2 linked regions of the Arabidopsis thaliana genome follow. The protein of the gene in region 1 interacts with the protein of each later gene in a pairwise test. Each region holds a gene or a part of one and is shown in the gene's direction. Other genes may lie near its edges.

What was found. The genes of interacting proteins can lie anywhere in the genome.
Region 2: the proteins of DCP1 (region 1) and SPI interact in a two-hybrid assay, tested with the Arabidopsis thaliana proteins (one study listed by BioGRID).

What each region holds. Positions count from the first base shown.
Region 1 is NC_003070.9:2,636,187-2,641,173, forward strand, and holds DCP1 (decapping 1), read left to right. Parts: upstream 1-1,850; 5' UTR 1,851-2,168; coding exon 2,169-2,327; intron 2,328-2,407; coding exon 2,408-2,448; intron 2,449-2,535; coding exon 2,536-2,585; intron 2,586-2,720; coding exon 2,721-2,865; intron 2,866-3,066; coding exon 3,067-3,123; intron 3,124-3,274; coding exon 3,275-3,389; intron 3,390-3,579; coding exon 3,580-4,059; intron 4,060-4,124; coding exon 4,125-4,181; 3' UTR 4,182-4,477; downstream 4,478-4,987. Other genes in the region: AT1G08360 (Ribosomal protein L1p/L10e family), read left to right, coding at 45-49, 462-681, 901-1,066, 1,249-1,508; PSAO (photosystem I subunit O), read right to left, coding at 4,818-4,987.
Region 2 is NC_003070.9:723,892-728,860, reverse strand, and holds the start of SPI (BEACH-DOMAIN HOMOLOG A1), read left to right. Parts: upstream 1-1,969; coding exon 1,970-2,151; intron 2,152-2,513; coding exon 2,514-2,586; intron 2,587-2,738; coding exon 2,739-2,824; intron 2,825-3,036; coding exon 3,037-3,172; intron 3,173-3,252; coding exon 3,253-3,309; intron 3,310-3,451; coding exon 3,452-3,625; intron 3,626-3,779; coding exon 3,780-3,971; intron 3,972-4,114; coding exon 4,115-4,180; intron 4,181-4,471; coding exon 4,472-4,586; intron 4,587-4,741; coding exon 4,742-4,969. UniProt on the Arabidopsis thaliana protein: Involved in cell morphogenesis. May have a function in membrane fusion or membrane composition. Required for salt stress tolerance.

The sequences.
Region 1 (4,987 bases):
TCGTTTCCAGGATCAGATCTTAGCTAAATTGAGACAAGCTCAAAATGAGGTACTTGACGCATCTCTTACATTCACTGTTTAATTAGAGAACAATACGTCTCTGAATCGTGATTCAGAGACGTATTGTTCTTCTGTCATATGCAATAAGTTTAATTAGAGAACAATACGTCTCTGAATCGTGATTGTTTTTTGGATGTGCGTTATTGATAGCTTTATGATGTTAATAGTCTAGGATTGACACGAAGTTGTTCTGCAGTTTTGCATAAATGCTCTTTACTAAGGCCTCTAAATTTGGATGACAAATCTAAATCTTGCCTCATAAAAATTTAGGTGTATTAAGATAAGATTATTTTGTATGGTAGTGTCTATAATGTGGGTTGTTCATGTTGAGGTTGTCAATGTTGTGTATTTTTGTTTGTTTAGTTAATTTGCTTAACTCTGTTCTTTGTGGGTTAATACAGTAAGCTTCAGAGTGAGGCCGTTCGTGAAGCCATCACTACTATCACAGGGAAATCCGAGGCAAAGAAACGTAACTTTGTCGAGACTATTGAGCTCCAGATCGGTCTGAAGAACTATGACCCTCAAAAGGACAAGCGTTTCAGTGGATCTGTCAAGTTACCACATATCCCCCGTCCTAAAATGAAGATCTGCATGCTCGGAGATGCCCAGCATGTTGAAGAGGTGATATATCTTTTCATGGAAATTGATCATTTTGTGCTCTGTTTCTTGTATAATGGTTTTGTGCTCATTTCATTTGGTGGCTCTATTAGTTTCATTTGATGTTGTATATGTCTTCTGAATGTAGATGCATGATGTTTTCGGAATTTGGTCATTGTTTATTTAGGCTTCATTTCTTGCATAATTAAATATTTGCTTATTTCATCTTGTATCTTTTCGTAGGCTGAGAAGATGGGGTTGGAAAACATGGATGTTGAGTCTCTAAAAAAGCTTAACAAGAACAAGAAACTCGTCAAGAAGCTTGCAAAGAAATACCATGCTTTCTTGGCCTCTGAGTCTGTCATTAAGCAGATTCCTCGTCTTCTTGGTCCTGGTCTTAACAAGGCAGGCAAGTTCTGGCTACAGCTAATATTCCATTGTTCTTCTTTACATCCGTTTTGATTTTGGATAGGTTTTAGTAGTCTATTTCTTTTGTCAATGTCTTTTTGATACAATGCCAATCCTTTATCCTGTGAGATTATGCTTCTTTGATGATTCTTAAGTAACATTCCTTTGCTTTACTTTACACAGGAAAATTCCCAACTCTTGTGAGCCACCAGGAATCCTTGGAGTCAAAGGTGAATGAAACAAAGGCAACAGTGAAGTTCCAGCTGAAGAAGGTTCTGTGCATGGGAGTTGCAGTTGGTAACCTTTCAATGGAAGAGAAGCAGATCTTTCAGAATGTGCAGATGAGCGTCAACTTCCTCGTCTCGCTATTGAAGAAGAACTGGCAAAATGTCAGGTGTTTGTACCTCAAGAGCACAATGGGACCACCACAAAGAATCTTCTGAGCTTTCACCTACTTAAAATTGGTGGCTATAAGACACTTCTTCTTACCCTTTCGTTTTTGTTTCAGACATATCTGTTAAACAGTGTAAGAGTTGTGCTGCTACTCTCCTCTTTAGCTTTTGGTTTGGATAATTTGAAATAACTGCAGTGATTTTGGTTAATGGATTTTGTAGCTTATATTATCTTTGAATTAGATGTGCTTATTTCAAAGACGAATCAATCCACAGATGTGAATAAAAACAGAAATTTTCGTTTTCAATTTGAAAATTGTCCTCGTGGACTGTTCCATAACCAAATTCTATTGACTATGCAGTAATTGATCTTTGAATTAAAAGGATCAACCCACTGATTATACTCCAATTGAATAAATATTCTTCTTTAATGTTGTTTATAATCTCTTAAGCAAGCTCTAATGATGTATTTTTGAAGCAAACTCTAATGCTTTTATGGTCAGTATATTTATTCTCTTAAGTTTTATAACTAAATTACCATTTTTTTTTGCCAAAGCAGACAACAAAATAGCGAAGTGCGTTCCAAAAGTTAGCGTTTTCGTCTCCGTCCCCAAATCTCTCAGCTACCTTAAATCAGAATTCTAGGGTTCTTCCGATTAGGGTAAAATCGAATCCAGATTTCCCAAAATTCTGATCTTTGATTTATAAAAGATGTCTCAAAACGGGAAGATAATCCCAAATCTGGACCAAAACAGTACGAGGCTCCTCAATCTCACAGTTCTCCAGCGGATCGATCCATACATCGAGGAAATCCTCATCACAGCCGCTCATGTCACTTTCTATGAATTCAACATTGAGCTCAGCCAATGGGTTAGTCTCAATCAATCTTCGATTACATAATTTGATGTTTGCTTCCCTACCTAATGATTGATCTGTCTTTTGTCATTCAGAGTCGTAAGGACGTTGAAGGATCTTTGTTTGTTGTCAAAAGGTTACTACTTTCGATCTTTAACTATGTGTATCTTATCTTTAATCGTCTTCTCAAATCTGATTGGATCCTTTTTTTTGTTTCTTTCAGAAGTACACAACCTCGATTTCAGTTTATTGTGATGAATCGTCGTAATACAGGTCAGGATTTATTCAAATAAAGTTGGTGTGTGTCATGTGTCTAGAAAAGGTTTAGATTTAGTAATATATTGCAAGTTCTTATTTAAGGATTCAGTATTAGTAATCATCAGTGTGTTGCTGTATTTGTCTGGATAGATAATCTGGTGGAGAATCTCCTGGGAGATTTTGAGTATGAAGTACAAGGTCCATATTTACTTTACCGTAATGCATCTCAAGAAGTAAATGGCATTTGGTTCTACAATAAACGTGAATGCGAGGAGGTAGCAACTCTTTTCAACAGGTATGTATATATAAGTCACTGCATATCAGGTAGAAACTGTTGGTTTCAATTGTTGGATCATGAATAATATCAATATCGTCTTTTATTTGCCTATTATCAGACAGTTACTTGTTGGCAAATATAATGTTCTTGTATATTTGTATGAACTTGAAATTACTCTTACTCGTTGTATCTCTGCCTAATGGTTCCTTGGCATGACAGAATACTCAGTGCATATTCCAAGGTTAACCAGAAGCCAAAGGCCTCATCTTCAAAGAGGTAATATTTTCATGATTAGATTTAGTTAGTACACCATTAGTTGTTTCTTGGATGTGTTTTCTTTGAGGTGGAAACTTGATAATCTAAATCATTTTTCCCGCTGTTATATCTCTTACTTGTTAAATTAAGTTAGATTTTCTATGTACTGCAGTGAGTTTGAGGAATTGGAAGCTAAGCCTACAATGGCAGTTATGGATGGTCCTCTTGAACCATCATCAACTGCTAGGGATGCCCCTGATGATCCTGCTTTTGTCAACTTCTTTAGCGTAAGTTTCTAAAGCTTCTGTTACACACTCACACTATCATCTTCACCATGACAGCATCTTATACGACTAATGGCAGGAGGGCTTTCTATTAGTTCTAGCCTTCTAGGTTCTTGAATTATCTTCAGCGTAGTATATGGTCCAACTTAGACTCCTCAAATTGTAACACTGAATTTATCTAAATTGTTGACAGTCAACGATGAATCTTGGGAACACTGCGAGTGGGTCAGCAAGTGGACCTTACCAATCATCAGCGATTCCTCACCAACCTCACCAGCCTCACCAACCCACCATTGCTCCTCCTGTAGCGGCAGCAGCACCTCCACAGATACAATCACCACCGCCTCTACAATCCTCCTCTCCTCTGATGACTCTCTTTGACAACAACCCTGAAGTTATCAGCAGCAACTCCAACATTCACACAGATTTGGTGACGCCGTCTTTCTTTGGCCCCCCACGAATGATGGCACAGCCACACCTCATTCCTGGTGTATCTATGCCCACTGCTCCTCCTCTCAATCCTAATAATGCGAGTCACCAGCAGCGGTCATATGGTACTCCGGTGCTCCAGCCTTTCCCACCCCCAACTCCACCACCATCACTCGCTCCTGCACCCACTGGTCCGGTTATCAGCAGAGACAAAGTGAAGGAAGCCCTTTTATCCCTGTTGCAGGTTCGTCCTTTACCACATCACTTTATTTGAGCTGCTGTGCAAACCTAACGAGTTGCTTTTGACAGGAGGATGAATTCATTGACAAGATTACCCGAACTTTACAAAATGCACTTCAACAATGAAGCTGCGCTGGTCAGCATCTACGTGTGGGATAGTGGCTGTTTGATCTAGAATGTGTAGTTAAAATGTAGTTTTGTTCCCTCTGAAAGTGTTGTTGGAACCTTATAAGATACTGCACTGCCCCCTTTGTTTAACTCTTGGAATTACTTTTTCATTTTATCTACTTTCAAGTTTTTACCTTTCCTCATCAATTTTTGTTTCGTAGTCGAAAGACATGTTAAAGACTTTAGATTCACAAATCTTCATGCATGTTTAGAGTTTATTGGAACATATACACATCAAGATTAATACAAAAAACATGAAAGAGTAAGAAGAAAGAGAGATAATTTTTCTATTTTTTAAAAGATTCGAGATTGCAAGACAAAAACTGTTTGTATGGTTCAAGTCAAAGACGTATTGTGATGTTTCGTTTTGAAGTATTATCCCAATCTTTTGTGAGCTTTCCCTCGAGAAACGCTTTTAACATTTAATACTTTAGTTAGACTGACAGACATTCTTAAAATCAAGATCATATAAGAAAGACTTGTCGAGATATAGAATGAAACATCAAATAGCAAAGAAAGCTTTGTTTTGATTGATAATATTACACATAACCAAGAGAGAGCATATAGTACAAACGAAAACAAGAATAGTTATCCTTAGAAGTAATCTTCAGTCCTGCCCTTGAATCCGATTTGTCCGAAAGTGAGGCAGAGGAAGAGGCCTAAGTGCCACGTAACCAACCACAACCAGAACTGTGAAGTGAGAGCTGGAGGAGTCGGGAAGTGAGCGAGCTCAGTTCCGATGCTATCGAAGAAGAGACCCGTCA
Region 2 (4,969 bases), 1.9 Mb from region 1:
ACATAGGACATGTTTTTAGACTTTTAACCTTTAAAGGTCCATTGGAATTTTTTTGTTGGCAACTCCTATATTAGAACTTAGTCCTAAATGATTATAGTCGTCACATACAAATATTGGTGTTTAGATATGACATGAATCAGACAAATGAAATACTATAATAATTGTTGGAAAATTGTTTTAGAAGCAGAATTCGGACCAAGTTCTATCTTTAATTTTTTTCTGAAAATATATCGTCTCTTTATCATCAGATGTTCTACTTTTGGTTGATGACTATTTACCACCAGTACTATAAGGTTTATTGTTTGTTTAACATACGCGACCTCTGCATTTTGATAGATAGATAAATATATGTTAGAATTTTCTCACAATGACATAGTTATATTTTTAAGAAATTCATATATAAATTAAATATGAATTTAAATATGTTTCGTATTATTATTAAAAAGACATAAAAGTTTTGGTCCAAAAAGTGTTTAAATTTTGCAAAGAGGGGATCACGTTTCGCAATCGTTCAGCAAACCTATACGAACACGTGGCATTCTCGTCCCGTGGGCTCTACTTGCGATTGTAGACGTGAACCTAGAAACTACATTGGCCCTTGTTTTTCTTAATAATTATAATTTAGGTCTCGTTTGTTTCAAAACCTTCATCCAGATCCATATTGCCGTTAATTTTTCTAATTTCTGTTGATATTGTGCTCACTAGATAATAACTTTTCACAAATATGGTTTACAAATTCTTTTTATGTTGTGTTGGCTCTCGTATTACAAAAAGAACCTAAACTGTATGCTAAATAAATTTATTTATTATTTTGGCATGAGGTAAATATATATACTATGTATAGGCTTAAAAGTAAAAACTAAGAAAGGTAAAAATTAACTTTAATTTTAAGTATGAGTTAAGTCTATTGTAAAAATTCAAAAGTAGCAATGTTTTTTTTTCCCTATCCATATGGAATTTATTTTATTAAAAATATAATAAAACAAAATAATATCCTAATGTGTATCTCTAAAACATCCTTATTTGACCATTTGTATATAAACTAACTCAAACAATTATATAAAATGATAGAGAAGATAGAGTCAACCTTTGTTACTTTCACGAACGAAATGTCAAAGGTATTCAAGTGTCCCTAGTTGATAATTTTATATGCGCCATTGTTTTGGTCTACAAAATTTAGCTGTGGGGTTTGCGATGCAAGACTAATTTGGGGGTCAAAATGGTAATGAAATATTGTAGTGGTTATAAAATAGTATAAAACAAAATTTCAAGGGCTAATAAAGTAATAAAATTGGAAATAATTTACGAAGGAGAAACAAACAGTATCGTGTTTTAGAGAGAGAAAGTGAGACGACTTGAGCGAGAAACAAGGCGCGGAGAGAGACGACGCCGTCAACAACACCAGAACAGAAAAAAAAAACAAAGAAAGAAGGAAGAAAAAAGAGAGAGAAGGAGATTTGATTTAATTTAAATTTTCTTTAAGGAAAAAAAAAACAAAAACAAAATCGCGTTTTTCCGCTAAGCTCTTTTTCTTCCCTTTTTGTCAAAATTTGGGTTTTTGCTCATTCTCGTGGAAGGAAAAAAGGGGATTTTTTCAAGTGTTTAGGGGTTCACAAATTGAAAATTTTGGATCTTAGATCTTTCTTCTTGCTACGAAACCCTAATTCGTCACATTGTATCAGCTCAATTTGATCTTAAAAAAAAAAGACTATTTTTTTCCTTTTTGGGTCTCCTTCTTCTTTCTTTCTTTAATTTGAATTCCTCAATTTAAGGATTGTGTGTTTTGTTTCCTTCTTGTGAACGAATGAGAGTTTTGGGTTGATCGCATTTTTAGGGTTGATTTTATTTATCTGATCGACGACTCGGATCTGAGGTGGGTCGTGTTTGGAGACCGAGTCAGGGTCTGGTCTGGTCTGGTGAGGTCGTCGTCTTCATCGGATGAAAGTTTCTGGGATCGAAAAGCACAACGATGAAATGGGCAACATTGCTTAAGGACATCAAGGAGAAGGTTGGATTAGCTCAATCCTCTGACTCCGACCCCTTTCCCGTTGACCTAACTGCTCCGCCCTCTTCTTCTTCTTCTTCCTCTTCTCCTTCTTTTACTTACCCCTCCTCTTCTTCTCTTCATCACTTCAACTTCTCTCCTTCAAGGTAATTTCTTCTTCTTTTCTCTTCTGCTTTTGCTTCATCTTGTTCCGATGTTGCGCATCGTTGCTGCTAGTTATAGCTTTGCTTTTTTATGTTTGTTTGGGGACCAGAGTTTAGATTGCTTTATTAGTGATCGACACCAACCAAGTTTCTTTTAGATTGCTTTATTGCAACATTTGTGGTGCTACGTTTTTTGTGATAAGATTGATAAATGAGAGTCAAAGGCTGCTGCTAACTCAATTGAAACAAAAATATAGTCTTTGAAGCTGCAACACTTTTCAATTGGATTCTCTAATTTTGTTGACTGATCGCTCTTGTTGTTGTTGTAAAACTATTGTTGATCCTCTCTTTACTCCTCTCCAAAGCAGAGATAACCATGAGTTGGAGCTGGACTTCAAGAGATTATGGGAAGAGTTTCGTTCATCTAGTTCTGAAAAGGTACTTACTTTGATAATCCATACTCTTGCACATGCGTTAGTGAACGCCTTACCTTTATTCTTGGAACAATATCTCTTCTTGTATTTTCTACACTGGATGGGCTTACAAAAGGCTAGAAATTTATTAGTGCTAATCGTTCATATGTCATGCAGGAGAAGGAGGCCGCCTTGAATTTGACCGTCGATATATTTTGTAGATTAGTGAAGCGGCACGCTAATGTAGATCAGTTAGTTACTATGTAAGCTATTCCTAACTCGTTTTCCCTTTTTGGTTGGATATACATTGAATTGGCGTTTGTTGTCACATGATTTGGATTTTTATGGTGGAAAATGCGTTTCTCAACCTGTATGTTCTCCCCTGTCTAGCTAGTCTTCTTCCATACCTCATATTTTATCCTTGTAGGTCAGACATGGTATAATCACCAATTTGAGAAATTTATTTTAATCGCAGGTTAGTAGAAACACATATATTCTCCTTTGTCATTGGGAGAGCATTTGTGACAGATATTGAAAAGTTGAAGATCGGCAGCAAGACAAGGTCACTGAATGTAGAGAAAGTATTAAGGTTCTTTTCAGATGTCACCAAGGTTTGCCTTTTCTTTCTGAATGTGCATCTTGACATGTCACCCTCTCTTCTCTATTTTTAATCCATGGTTTCTTCCTACAGGAGGGATTTAGTCCTGGTGCAAACCTCTTAACTGCTGTTGAAGTACTTGTATCTGGGGTACATTTTCGACTTTTTCCTGTGTCTTTCATCTTACTCACTCCATAAAATCTTGCAAAGCTCAATTTCTTATCGTCCAGGATCCTTACTCTTTGATGGTTTTATGCCTTATATTGTGTTGCCTCTTATGTGTTCTTTTCAGCCTATCGACAAACAATCACTACTGGATTCTGGGATATTCTGTTGTCTAATACACGTTCTCATTGCACTTCTAGCATATGATGAACTAAGCAAAAGTAAAATAACTGGTGACTTAGAAGTTGTATCAGCGGAAAAAGATGCTGGATACATAGTTCTCCAGACTAGACGACTTGAGGTTCTGTTTCAATTGTTTTTTTTCCAAATCATAATACGATTAGATATGTTATTCGACATTGTTTTGAGCTACATATGACAACCAAGTTTATATTACACAAATGCTTTATCAGCTTAATAAATAATAAATACTTTGTGCCCCTTCATTCGTGTAGGTGGAGGGTAGTGTTGTTCATATCATGAAAGCATTAGCAAGCAATCCTTCTGCTGCTCAGAGTTTGATTGAAGATGACTCTCTTGAGTCGCTTTTCAATATGGTTGCCAATGGCTCCATTACAGTTTTTTCTCAGTATAAAGAAGGTCTAGTTCCCCTCCATAACATACAACTTCACAGACATGCAATGCAGGTAATTTTTGCGCATCTATTTTAGAGCATCATGCTATGAAATGGAAAAATTCCGTGAACGGCTTTCTAGATGGACAAATTAAAACTGGATTGAATAATCTGATGCTTATACTTTCATTTGGCACCCTTTCGTGTCTCTTCCAGATCCTTGGACTTCTACTAGTCAATGACAATGGGAGCACAGCAAGATACATACGCAAGCACCATCTGGTACGCCAGTGAATTATGCAGACTGCCTGAGTGTAGTATATTGAGTCTCATGCATACTTTTAAGCTGACCGTGGGTATAGTTTATTCTTTTTGCTAATGTTGAAACTATGTGAGATTTCCGTGATAAAGAACGTGGTTATCAGGAAACTTATGTTGATTTCAGGATAGAAGCAAATTATAATTAAATGTTGTATGCTTATGTTTTAGTTTCATCAGAAGCATAGTGTTGCAAAATGATAATTGCAACAAGTCATTGAAAAATATATTCTAAATTTTTGAGTTCTCGTGCAGATAAAGGTGCTCTTGATGGCTGTCAAAGAATTTGATCCAAGTTGTGGTGACTCAGCCTACACTATGGGCATTGTGGACTTGTTACTTGAATGTGTAGAACTATCGTACAGACCTGGTAAATGTAGTCTACATAGCTCTAAATATGTTATGTCCGTATGAAAGAATGCTGCGTGAGAGTAGAACATTCAGTAGTCACATTATATATGTGGACATGTAAGCTAAAGCTGTTCTGATTATGGCTACTAATCTTTTTCATATTTGACTTTGTAGAGGCTGGTGGTGTTAGGCTCCGGGAGGACATACGTAATGCACACGGTTACCACTTTCTTGTTCAGTTTGCCCTGGTTCTATCTTCCTTGCCAAAAAATCCGATTTTTGTGTCCAGTAATCATGATAGTGGTTCCGATGACCCTGAAGTGTTTCATGATGGAGAAAATACAAACAGTACGGAAAATGCTGATTTTTCATCACAAAACTTTGCTCCATCGTTGTCAAGAT